2 linked regions of the Drosophila melanogaster genome follow. The gene in region 1 interacts genetically with each later gene. Each region holds a gene or a part of one and is shown on either strand. Other genes may lie near its edges.

Region 1 (7,595 bases):
CATGGTACGCGGCAAAGCGTGAACCGTAAACGGTAAACGACAAAACGGAGACGTCGCCACTTTGGCCATGAGTAACGATGAGTGCTCAATTACTTTTCGATTGATCATGGTTTTGGCGCGCGGTGAAATTTAGACCGCCACCCCGCAGTTGCGCCTACCCCCTCTCGGCATCCGCATTCTGTCGACCGGTGGAGCGTAGTCGGCAATCATGAATGAATCGCCGTGTCTGCGAGCGTGAGAGCCCGGCTCGCGGTTGAACAAATCGTGTCGTCATTGACGGCTGTCGGCGGCCGACGGAGCGTATGAGTAATATTCTTGTGAAATTGAACGGAAATAACTGAAATTCATGCCAACCCCCATAAATTGCCGACTATTTGCGGGGGTTACTTCGGAACGGAACAAAACGGAACGGAATGGATCGTTTCGCTTCGGATCGGAAACGATCGTCTCGGAATCGAAATCGGAGAACGGGAGATCCGGAGAAACGGTGAATCGGAAGTGTGTGCCGAGTGAAAGTCATTCGATAAGAGCCAAGTAGCCGCTCATTTCGTTCCCCAGAGACCGGCAAATAGGCAAATTACACATGTTTTGTTTATCTGCGAGCGGGAGAGACAGTGAATAGCTCTCCCAGCGACCTTATCTGGTGGAGATCGGCCCAGTCGACGAATCGATCAATCACTCCACTCCAGTGCGCCGATTATGTGTCATCCCCCAAAGGGGAGCGCTGGAGAGCTGTGAGTATTTCTCATCGTGTTGAAATCTAGCTGGCCTAATCATTCACTAAACGTTTGTATTTTTCACGCCCATTACGACTGGGTAATATTGGTAATAAATCTATTATGTTCGGAATGGCCGTAATATAGAATATTTATGACATTTGTTACTAGTTCACTAACCAAATATTGGTCTCAATCGAATAGCTATTGGATGATTGTACTTGTTGTTGCCTAGTTTAGATGTTATCTCTCATATTTAGTATTATTAAAGTTAACTAAAGTTAGTTAAAGTTATACTTTTCTTCTGCTTTTTTCCATGCTTTCTTCAGCGTATCTTATTGCTCCTAGTTGCTAGTACCCTGGGTACAGGGTAACCCATTGTCCACACCCAGCCGCTATGAGTCGTTTTTGTTTTTTTTTATCGCTCAGCTGTGCTTTTTTATGGCTTTCTCGCGTTGTTTTTGGCACTCGGCGAATGTTTTGAGCGCTTTTCTTGCGATTGCACACTCATGACAGCCGAGAGAGCCTCTCCCTGTCTCTCTTCCGCTTCTTTGGCGATTCGAGCGGAGCGAACATGACCGGCGGACTGGGCGTCCGCCTCCTCATTAGTATGCTCATAGTAACTGAGGAGTTCAGTCAGTCTCCGCCGGCCACAAAAACAAAAAACTAAATATATATACACACATAACCACTGCACGCGAAAAGGCGAAAAAAAAGTGAAGAAACGCTACTGCAAAAATTGTACAAAAAAACAACGCAAAGACGGCGAGAAAGCCACTCCAATCCACTCCACAACACTCCACTCCACGCTCTCCAGCGGCAAGAAATCGACAGCGCTGTTGACTTCGACTTCGATCGAATCGGAATCAAATCATAGCAGACAGTCGAAGGCAGCGCGTCGACACTTAACGCGATAGTTCGTCCAGCCGCGATATAAAGATACAAAGATACGCAGCCAAATTCAACAAATTCAACAAATTCGACAAAGTCGCCTGATTCGCCTGATTCGCCAAATTCGCCAAATCGCGATCGCTTTTATTATTGGTTAGTTTTTTTTTTCGTTTTTTTCCCCGTTGCATTCTGGAAGCTTCTTTCCGGCAAATACACACAAAGAAAAGACTAACAGCGTTACAAAAGCAAAGTGCGTGTCAATCAAGTACGAATTTTTGTGCGGAATTCCCAGCCAACGATTTTTATGTAAATGGTAAGTACAAGTAACTACCGCAGGCGCGTATTTTTTCGGGGATTTTATATTTGCCTTTTCTGCTGCCGATAAGAGAATTCACCTGTGCGTGCTCGGTTTGTTGATAGGTACAGGTGTCTTTCGCTCGATACTTCTGAACCCGCAGAGTTCTTGCCAAGAGCTGCAATGGTCAGGTGAGGTGTCACGTACCCCACACATGATGAAATTGGCCCCAAGGAGGAGGTGTGATGGGTTTAGGGATTGGAGATGGGGATAGGGCTCACAACCGAAAGGGACCATCATCTCCAGCCTCTCATGGGGGAAACTCATTCGTGAATCACTGACACTGTTTGGTGATAGGCATTGAAAACAAGTTATAAATTCATGATGCACAATATGTTAAGTTCATTTTTCCACATGTGAATCATAGCATTTTAAAGTTATTACAATTATGAAAAACCCAAAGTTATTTGAAAACCTATGGACGTTATTTTCGGATGAGTATGACTAATCGTACAGGGGCGACTTGCATTTATTTGCTATTACTATTCTAACTTATTGGGAACTTATTGTTCCATTCAACCACACAACTTATGCAACTAACTTAATAGTTATTGCAACTGTAAAAAAAAACCCTTTTGACGAAAAATGGCCAAAAAAAGAGCGAAACATGTGAAATTAATTTACACGTTTCGTGCCGCGGGGGTGGTGGTGCCAGTGGTGCTGGTGGTGCTGGTGGTGCTGGTGGTGCTGGTGGTGCTGGTGGTGCTGGTGTTGCTGGTGTTTGGCAGGAATTGAAGATTGGATGCGTCAGCGGTTGTCACTACAAGCGTTAGCGATTCGGCACAGACAGGAGGACAAGGTCCGGGCAAAGGGACCGCGATAAAGAGCCGGAGAGCGAAAACGCACGGCAAGAGAGAGTGAATTTCACAAAAGTTTGCAAGACCAATGTTTCGTTGACCATGCTGCTCGATGTGTAGGAGGCGTGTGGAGCGATTGGAGCCTACCCCACCAGACAATATGAGATAGCACCGCCACCGCCAGTGCGGTGGCACCACTATCACCACTACCTTTGCAAGTCGACCTCCACCCGACACACGATGATTCATGATAATTTGGCTAAATAAAGAAATTTATTTTTAATTTGAAATAATTATTTCAGCCAGATAAAGACGGCACTAGCAATGGCCGTAGCTGTAGCTAAAGCGCAAACGATAATAATAACAAATCGCGCATGCTTCGGGCCCCCCAAACAATTGCGATTATATTTATATGTGTGCGTATGGGTTTGCGCATAAGTGCGTCCAGCGGGAATCCCCAAGCAGCCAACAATCATCATAATTCGCCCACTCAGGCACTAACACACACAAAATAACACAAAACAATCGCACCACAATCACACATCCGTACCATCACGTGCGCGAATTTTGGTTTATATTTGGCAAAAGTTGGCCAAGATAATATATAACCAGTCGGTTCAGTTCAGTTGTCCGCGCAGCGTCCGTTAGTCTTGACTTATGGTAATTGGTCCCTCGGCAGGGGGAATACATTTGGCCAACCGAACCCTCTTTTCGGCCAAAGTTTGAGTATGTAAATAACTGAAAATCGAACATACGTATTTGATTTTTTTTTTTTTTTTTTTTTTTTGGTAACTAATAATAGTATAACCTGTTGCTAGACTTTTCTCATGCTAAACACCGACGACGTCTGACGAAGATGTGACGTCAAGAAGTCGTAGTGAAACTCGAGCCATTATGGGTGGGAAAAAAATGAAACTGTGTTATCTTGAGGGCTTTGCGTGTTTGTATAAATTTTGTTTAGCTTATTTCGGAACTTTTTCCATCCACAGACGACAGCTGACCGCCCGCTCGACGTCAGCAGGAGCAGCGGAAGCGGTAGCCGGAGCGGTAACAAAACGGCCAGAACCAGGAATCCAGTGGAACCGCAGCCGCAACCGCCGTTCGTGGATCGACGACGACGCCTGAACAGGAACTGGTCACTGATCTTACTCGCCTTGGCCATGTCCCAGTTTGCCCTCTCCGGCGGCGGTTGTGGCGTCTCAGCGGCGCCCAGTCACCTGGCCACCCCGCCCACTGACAGCCCCTCCAGTCCCATCAATCCCACCAATCCCCTGAAGCACCTACAGAAGCGTTCCAGAGCGGCCAACTTCCGGCTGACCTTCCAGCAGAAATTGAATGCCAGCAGTACGCATCTGGACTGGGAGAACACCTGCAATCTGAAGCCCACGGGTCTGAACGAAACGCACAGCAAGGCGAAACGCTGCAAGAAACGCCAAAGGGTAAGTTTCAAGCGAAAGTTGGCTCTTAGCTGATAAATAAATTGGCACAACTAATTCACACACTATTATCTATATGTATATATGTATTTGTATCTATTTCAGATCCTGCAGAATCTACAGAACCAAACGGGCCGCGAGCTGCGGGGCATCCAGGCCGAGGACAAGGCCAGGATCACCACCAATGCGGACAAGCTGGCCACAGTGAGCACCAAGACTCTGGACATTGTCGAGAAGAACAAGTGGCGATTCTATAAGGGAAACTACAGATTCCTGCCCCGTCTGAATCTCACTAGCAAACAGGTGAGTGTCGTCCATATGCCATAAGCATAATATATGTATGCATATATCGTCATGTGAAGAACTACTGGATCATTTACAAACATCAAACACTCGCGGGGGGTTCTTCTGTTGCCAGGGAGCTTGAGGTGATAAAAAAGAGGGTCACGTGAGGCGTTCGCCCCGTTCACCTGCGTAGGTGCAAACAGGCCGTCACAAGCTAATGGCGAGTGGAGCGGTCATATGAGTCCGAATCCGAGGGAATCGTGCCGCCAGCCGCGAGAGTTGTTGCCATAGTTTGTTTGCGTGATTAAGGGAATTTATCAATCTATATAGAGGGGTATGAAGGAAACTAAGGAAATAAAGATTGAGATATGTATATAGTTCATATGTGCTAGCTTGATGATGGAGTTGTTTTGACAACACTTCCAACAGCAACTTGCATTGAGCACTTAAGTGCCGCCAACTTTTCGATCGCACCTCGTTCGTTTTGTCAGCATTAGCCGGCATTTCGGGACGCCCCATTAACCGTCGATTTGCATTGGTAGCAAACAACAACAGCACGAGGGAAAACATTAGCAATCGATGCCATAACCACATTAAGATTAAGAGCAAATTGACGGCGCGCGCGCTTTTTTTTTCGATTATTGTTTATATAGATCCATCGCGATCCCCCCCAAACCGGCCTTGATCCAGCGATCACGTTTTATGGCCAATCCGTAGATTGGATCGATCCGAATTGAGGCTGAAGCTGAAGCTGAAGCTGTATCTGAATCTGAAAACGAAGTTCAATCCGAATCTCAATTCGTATCTGAAGTGGATAATTTGTTGAATAAACAAAATAAAATCAAGCGGCACATTTTATTTACACTTTTGACAAGTAAACAACAACAAACAGAAGCTAATCAAATTTCGAATTGGATTCGCCACGGACATCTGAATTATGGCGAGAGGAAAATTATGGAGCTTTTCAATTTCGAGACCCTCGAGTTGCGGACAGTTTGATGTTAATAGAGTGGAACCGTTTAGTAATGCCAAATTGTCGGGGTCTGGGAATTCGGAAATATTTTCGCACTGACACGGTGAAATGAGCAAGACCAGTTGAGGAAAAACCCGGAGTGACCGATAGGCCAGTGAATAATGGAAGTAATGGAAGTAATATAGAATGTGGGCTCCGGAATGTGGATGGCGGTACTTGCGAAATGATTGCCACGGAGTACCAGTCGATACGTGACCAAGTATGACAAACGCCGTGCACTAGAAAGGGTCTAGTCCACATTTCAATGAGGTGGATGTCGCTTCGTGAATCGGTCGAGATCGGCTTGGTTGCCCCAACGTGCTAATTCCTTGGTGTCCGGGAAAGTTTCGTATAGGACAGTAATATCTGCAGATAACCAGATGAGTGTAGTTCACTTGGCGTGGCCATAAACAGATACTTTTATGAGATCGCAGGTGCGGCGAAAAATCTCAAGTGTGGTCAAGATCCGCGAAAACCGCCGACTCACTTCGAGTCAGCCAAAAGTCGCGTTCAGAGTGCAAGTGGAGTCTCAAAGGTCGCCACCCCCTGGGAATTTGGTTTTTATTTTTTTTTTTAATTACCCGTTCTGCTAAACTTAGCCAGTCCCATCATAGTTGCCATTCCATTTCATCCATTCATTCACTTAGCCAGCGATTCCACTCAATCGTCTATTCAGGGCGATGAGCAAAGTTTGGCTTTCGCTGAAATTTCTCAATTGTCGTCATAGTCTGGGAAAAGTACCTGGGCCTCGCGGATCACACTGTGAGAAAATGAGGGTAACAATTGACTGCCTTCGCTGCTTATAAGTACTCTTTCGTGTTGAGTTTTTCAGTAGATACCTTTGATCACACACTACTCGATTCGACCAGTCGATCCACCTTTTCTCACTCTGCACCAAGCTCGGGAACTTGCCGCTCGGGATGTGTGTCAATATTTGGCCAATATCGGCTACGTCAATGCCAATTGTGCCAACTAATTGTTGACATCCCCGGAACAGAGTGAAACGGAACCCCCAGATCGGAACCCGATCCGACGACGAGGTGGCAAACGGGACTGATAGAAGAACTCTATATTTAGATGGATCGTTTCGATACCGAGAATCGACGGCCTTTTGACGTCATGCATTCGCTCATACCCACCCAAAAAAAAAAAGGAAAACAACGAATTCGCTGATACCGCAGCGGATCGGTTCGGAAGAAGAAATGACCTTAACGATAATATGTTTGAGTAGTTCACAACGCTCGTTTATTGCAAATGACACACACACGCCGTTTGTGGTCGTTGATCGGGGGGATACGGGGCGCGGAGCGTATACGCGATATGTGATTCATATGAAACAGAGCCGTGGATTCCCCCGAAACTCCAGCGAGAGCGAGCGGGAGCGGGAGCGGGAGCGGGAAAGGGTGAGCGGCGGCATGCGGCGAGCGCGACATGAATGAAACGAAGAGCCAACGTCGACGTCACGAGCGGCCAGCCGAAGCGTAGCCGAGAACTCAAAAAACAGTTACGAGAGAGCGGCGCGAGCGTTCGGCTTGATTTTCACTTTCAGCCGCCGGCCAGATAAGTTTCTGGTCGTTGGGATGAGGGGAGTGTGTGTGCGATGGGAGGGGGGGGGGGGGGGGGTCCGCAAAGGGGCTGGTGGGCTCAGTTCACTCAACCCAAAAAATTCGAACTATAGGATCGACTATATACACCATATGCGATATGGATATCGCAATTTCCGCCAAGGTTTCGCCGTTTCTAATACTTTAATTTTACAATTGGGGATTTTTATTGCAAGCGAGTGCAGAAAAAGGTTTATTCAATAAAGATAACCCCGACCTTCATTCATGGCGATACAAGTAATTAAGGCGTTAAATACTTAAAAATATCATACTTTGCCATATAATTGTTTTATTTTCAATTCTATGCTGATATAATCAAGGATTATGGAGTTGATCTCCAATATGGGTTGGGGTAACTATGATGATTAAGTTGGGAATATATAAGTTTACAAGTTCATGGACAGTTAATGATATAAATAGAGCACTTAATTTAATCTAAAAACTAGTATATATAAAATGGGTGTACAAATATGAATCCATAGATTCTTATCAACAGAGA
Region 2 (4,351 bases), on another chromosome or scaffold:
CTGTTTAACCGTACACTCTATTGCATTTAAAAATTGTTTATCTTTCTGCAAAATCACAGGTATGTGGTTCGTAAGCAAAAACTGGTTCAAGTCTATAAACAACTTTTTCGAACTAGTTCCGAAACAAATTCGCTTTTGCTGGCGCATTAGGGTGGCTCTATTTATATTCTTTAAAAAATATATTTTTCGAGCTTAGCAAAATCTTGTTTAAATCCTAGTTCAGTTTGGAGAAAAACAGAGCTGTATTTCGTCTTATTAATGAATAATATACTAATAAATAAGGTGCATATATTTCAGAGCATAGTTGTGGTTTTATTTCACCTATCCGCATTATCTGCAGTCAGTTCAACTCACTTTTTGTAATATATATATATTTGGTTAATAAAAACAAAATGACTCATATGCTTACACCTAAAACTGTCCCATCATCTACGCAGAAATTGCGTCATAAAAAAGTGGCGTGATGCTAGAGAAGTGGCGTGATTAACTATTTATCATACGCAGTTCAAAGTTCTGTTTCGCCTAGAGTAAACAAAAACAAAGAGCTTGTTGTTTGGTTTGGTTTATATTTTGAATATTTTTTAGTCAAATGTTTTTTTTTCAAATTCTTTGAGCACAATACATACATATAAGAGTAATCATAAGCCTATGTGGTTAGAGATTGTTAAATATAAATGGAAACCTACAGCTAAACTTAGCGCTCTAACTACAGTATCATATATAAAGCCTTCGATTATGAATTTATGTACAGCCTATCAACTAAAAAACTTAAACAAACGGCGGCCGGCCAAACTTAACAATAAAAGAGAGACAGAACGAAGTTTTCAGCTTGAAAAACTCAGATCAAACTGGGAAACAGCTCGTCAAAGTTGCTCTCCCAGGGGAAATCGTCCTCATCTGCGGGCAGAGTGAGAGCCACGGATGTGGGAGAGCCCAGTATGGACTCGTATCCATGGTCCGAGGTGGCCGAGTGTAGAGACAATGCGGGGGATTTGGCCAACGGGGAGATCGCCTTAACGCGCGGACGTAGGAATCGGTCGATCGGATCGAAGCTTTCCTCGTCGTCCGAATTGTCGACGGCGTTCATCACGTTGAGATAGACCTGTGACGGAGACGTCGCTGGCGGCGGACACTTCATGATCACGTCCGTTGAGTCGTCGCCAGCGCTGACGCCGTCACAGTAGATCTCCTCGACGGCCTCGTTCACCGGCACCGCATCCCCGTCCATCACGATGGTGATCGAGTTCGTCTTGGCATCATACGTGCCGTACACTGTGTCCGGAGTGGCCTGTAGTTGCGAGGCGGCCGCTGTCGCTGTGATTGTGGCTGTTCTCGAGGCTGGCGCTGCTGTGGTATGCTGTGGGTTTCCATTTATCTTCAACATCTGCACATTTAGGCTGACCTTGTGCTCGGTTTCCTGTTCCTGCTCAACATTCAGGCCATTAGCTCTATGCCCGTCGGATTCCAAGCGCTCTGCTGCGGGCCCCACCATTGGTCCAGGCAATCGCTCTGCGTTGCCTGCATCTTGGGCAGCAGCTGGGCTGCTCGCTCCAGCGCCTGTTTCCAGGTCTGCTGTGATATCTGCGAGCAGACTTTCGGCCAGCTCTTCGAGGCGCTTGACGTCGAACTCTTCGTCGACGCCAAGCATGTCTTGTAGAGTAGGCAGAGGGCCACAACTTTCCAGAGTGAGGCCAGGCTCTTGCTGCTCTTCAGCTGCTCCGCCAGCAGACGCGCTGACGACTGTGTGTCCACCTGTTGTATACCCTGCGGCAGAGGGTCAGCTTTGGATGCTGCAGATCCAAGGTTGGTGGACGCACAGCCCTCAGCGCCTGCGCTGGCGTTGGATTGGCTGATGCATCTGGTGTTGTGCTGCTGTTGCTGCTTCAGTTCGGCGAGTTCTTGGCGCAGCAGCTCCAGCTCCGAGTCCAGCTTGTGGTTCTTGGCCAGCAGTGACTCGTTGATGGCCTGCAGGCTATCGCACTTGTTCTGTAGTATTTCCGTTCTGTCTGTCAGCTCCTTGATCTCGTAGTCCATCTCCTCCATGCGTGCCTTCTTGCGGTCACGCGATGTCTGGGCGGCCACACGGTTCTTTAGCTTCCTGTTGTTCGATAATAACAGTTAAATAAGGCGCTCAAATTTGGTTAAAAGTTGGGTGGACTTACTTTCTTTGCACTTTCTCCTCCCAGGTTAGATGGTCCAGGCGACGCTTCTTGGCCTTGGGCTGGGATGCAGCCATGTTATCGTCATCCATGTTCGACGAGGATGCGTATCCCGAACTCGAGGGCGTGGGCGAGGCGGAGGGCGTGGCCGACACCTTCAGCAGAGCTGCCGTAAGGGGGGCGGGCCGCAATTTGGGCAGATTATTCGATGTGATTGCTGTCCGCGGCACGGTAATTAGCACTGTGTTTGCTGTGGGTGCCATGTTTAACTGGTTCGGGGCTAAATGATAAACTGCTGTGTGCTGTGTGCAATTGTGAAAAGCGACTTTCCACTTAGATTTGCATTGTAAGAGCGTATTTTAACTTTTGCTTGTTTTAGGTCGTCTCATGAACTTCGACTGCGCTTCTCGGACGCTCTGCTGGTTTGAATCTCTTCATCGCCGCCGACTCGGGCTTTTCTGGCTCCGTCTCACGCAATTTTCTCATCCACCTTTGCAATATCGACCGACCAGTTTTCCTTTCTGCTGACGTGTTCTTTTCCGAATGGCTGTGAAAAGCTGACGTGTTTTTCTAGAAGAGTTGGGGTAATGAGGGATGGAGCAGCACGTATCGGGCTATCGATTACAAATTCAGTTAATTTAGAGCAACGATGATTTGTAAAAGCGCTTAAATGTATTGTAAATTTTTTTTTATTGGATTTAATAAATATATTGTAACATTTCAGGCAATATCTTAAAACAAAAAATAGTTCCTTAAATTTTTCACACAATTCATTTTAATATCCAAACATAGAACAACGACTATGCCATCTCGAATTGCGCATGGCAGTGTGACCGTCTATATCTCAATGTGGAACAGTAAAAACGAGAAAGGAAATTATTTGTTATAAAATGTATAAATTTATTTTCCGCGTTATTTGCAATTGCTTGATTAAAGGGGCATCTAAAACAGTGGTTGTTGTGGTTTCTTGCCCTTTTCTTTTTCGGCTTGTGCTAGTTCCTCCTTGATAACCTCGGCAATTTCATAGATATCAGGCTTGTGCTGGAAATTTTAGATGAATCCAATCAAAAGTAGTTGGGAAATGCGATCTTACCCTGAGTTGATTTATGTAGAAGGTGTAGGGAATGTGTCCAGTAATGGGATCAATTGCCACAGGCCACATAGCATCCAATTCTTCAGCGGAGAAAGGTTCTCCTTCCTCCGCCATTAATTTGCCGAAGTACTCCTTGGTCAGATATTTTTTATTTTCTGGATCCAGGGTCTCAAAGGCCTCGAGAAGCTTTTCCGACGAGGCTGGTTCCATTCTGTGGACAAATATCGTTAGTTGCTAAACAAACCTAAAGTATATTGAATAACTGTCGATCCATCAGCAGTTTGGAAACGTGTTCCATGAACTTCACCAAATGGGCTTCGCCTGGATAGTCGACGGAATCGGTGGCTTTAATGACATCTTCGACCTCTTTTTCGGTGGGCGCGCAACCTAAAAATCGGAGCACGTTGCCGACATTGCGGGAATCAATATACTTATCGCCATGAGTATCAAATATGCAAAATGCTTCCGAAATCTTTTCCTCGAGTTCGTTGTTTAGGGTAACTACAAAAGGTTAGTGATATCAAGCGGAGGTGCGATGCTCATTTTATGTAATGCCTACCACCAACTTCCATCGCGGGTATATACTTTAGAATTTAATAAATAAACTGATAATTTTAAAATACGATTTATTTTTTCCTGATTTATATGTTTTCTGATTGAAGCATTATTAAAGGTTTGCTGTTTATATTTCGAATTTGAAAATAACGATCGGAAATCGATAATGGCGCCAAGCAAAGGGTATCGCCCCTGTGGTCATACTAGGTGTGGTGAATATCGACCGATAAGCATCAGTCGATAACTGCCTGCGAAGCAGTCGTGTTGAGCGTCGCGTTATTTTGTTTTCTGTTTTGTTTTTCGTTTCGTGTTTTTAATTTGTTTCCCATTAATTTGCAATTAAAGTTGAGACAATCGTTTAGCTAAAGATTTCATGTTACCCAAACAGTGAAGTTCGAGACTTTCCAGTGCCTTTTAAAGGACGAAATAGACTGCATTTGCTTGTTGTCGCTGAGCATTTGCATCTGTGTGCGTCGTTTGGCAGCAACAGGTTTTCCAACTCAACTCAACGCGCCACCTCAGTTTTCATTTGTTTTCGATATTC

The links. Genes that interact genetically often act in the same process or in processes that back each other up.
Region 2: of upd3 (region 1) and Xbp1, changing one suppresses a phenotype caused by changing the other (phenotypic suppression), as found in Drosophila melanogaster (one study listed by BioGRID).

What each region holds. Positions count from the first base shown.
Region 1 is NC_004354.4:18,275,686-18,283,280, forward strand, and holds the start of upd3 (unpaired 3), read left to right. Parts: upstream 1-1,547; 5' UTR 1,548-1,917; coding exon 1,918-1,920; intron 1,921-3,748; coding exon 3,749-4,198; intron 4,199-4,300; coding exon 4,301-4,498; intron 4,499-7,595.
Region 2 is NT_033778.4:21,141,948-21,146,298, reverse strand, and holds Xbp1 (X box binding protein-1), read right to left. Parts: upstream 2,751-4,351; 5' UTR 2,423-2,750; coding exon 2,163-2,422; intron 2,099-2,162; coding exon 1,435-2,098; coding exon of another isoform or gene 839-1,434; 3' UTR 549-838; downstream 1-548. Other genes in the region: CG9406 (uncharacterized protein), read right to left, coding at 3,102-3,200, 3,253-3,463, 3,516-3,753, 3,812-3,824.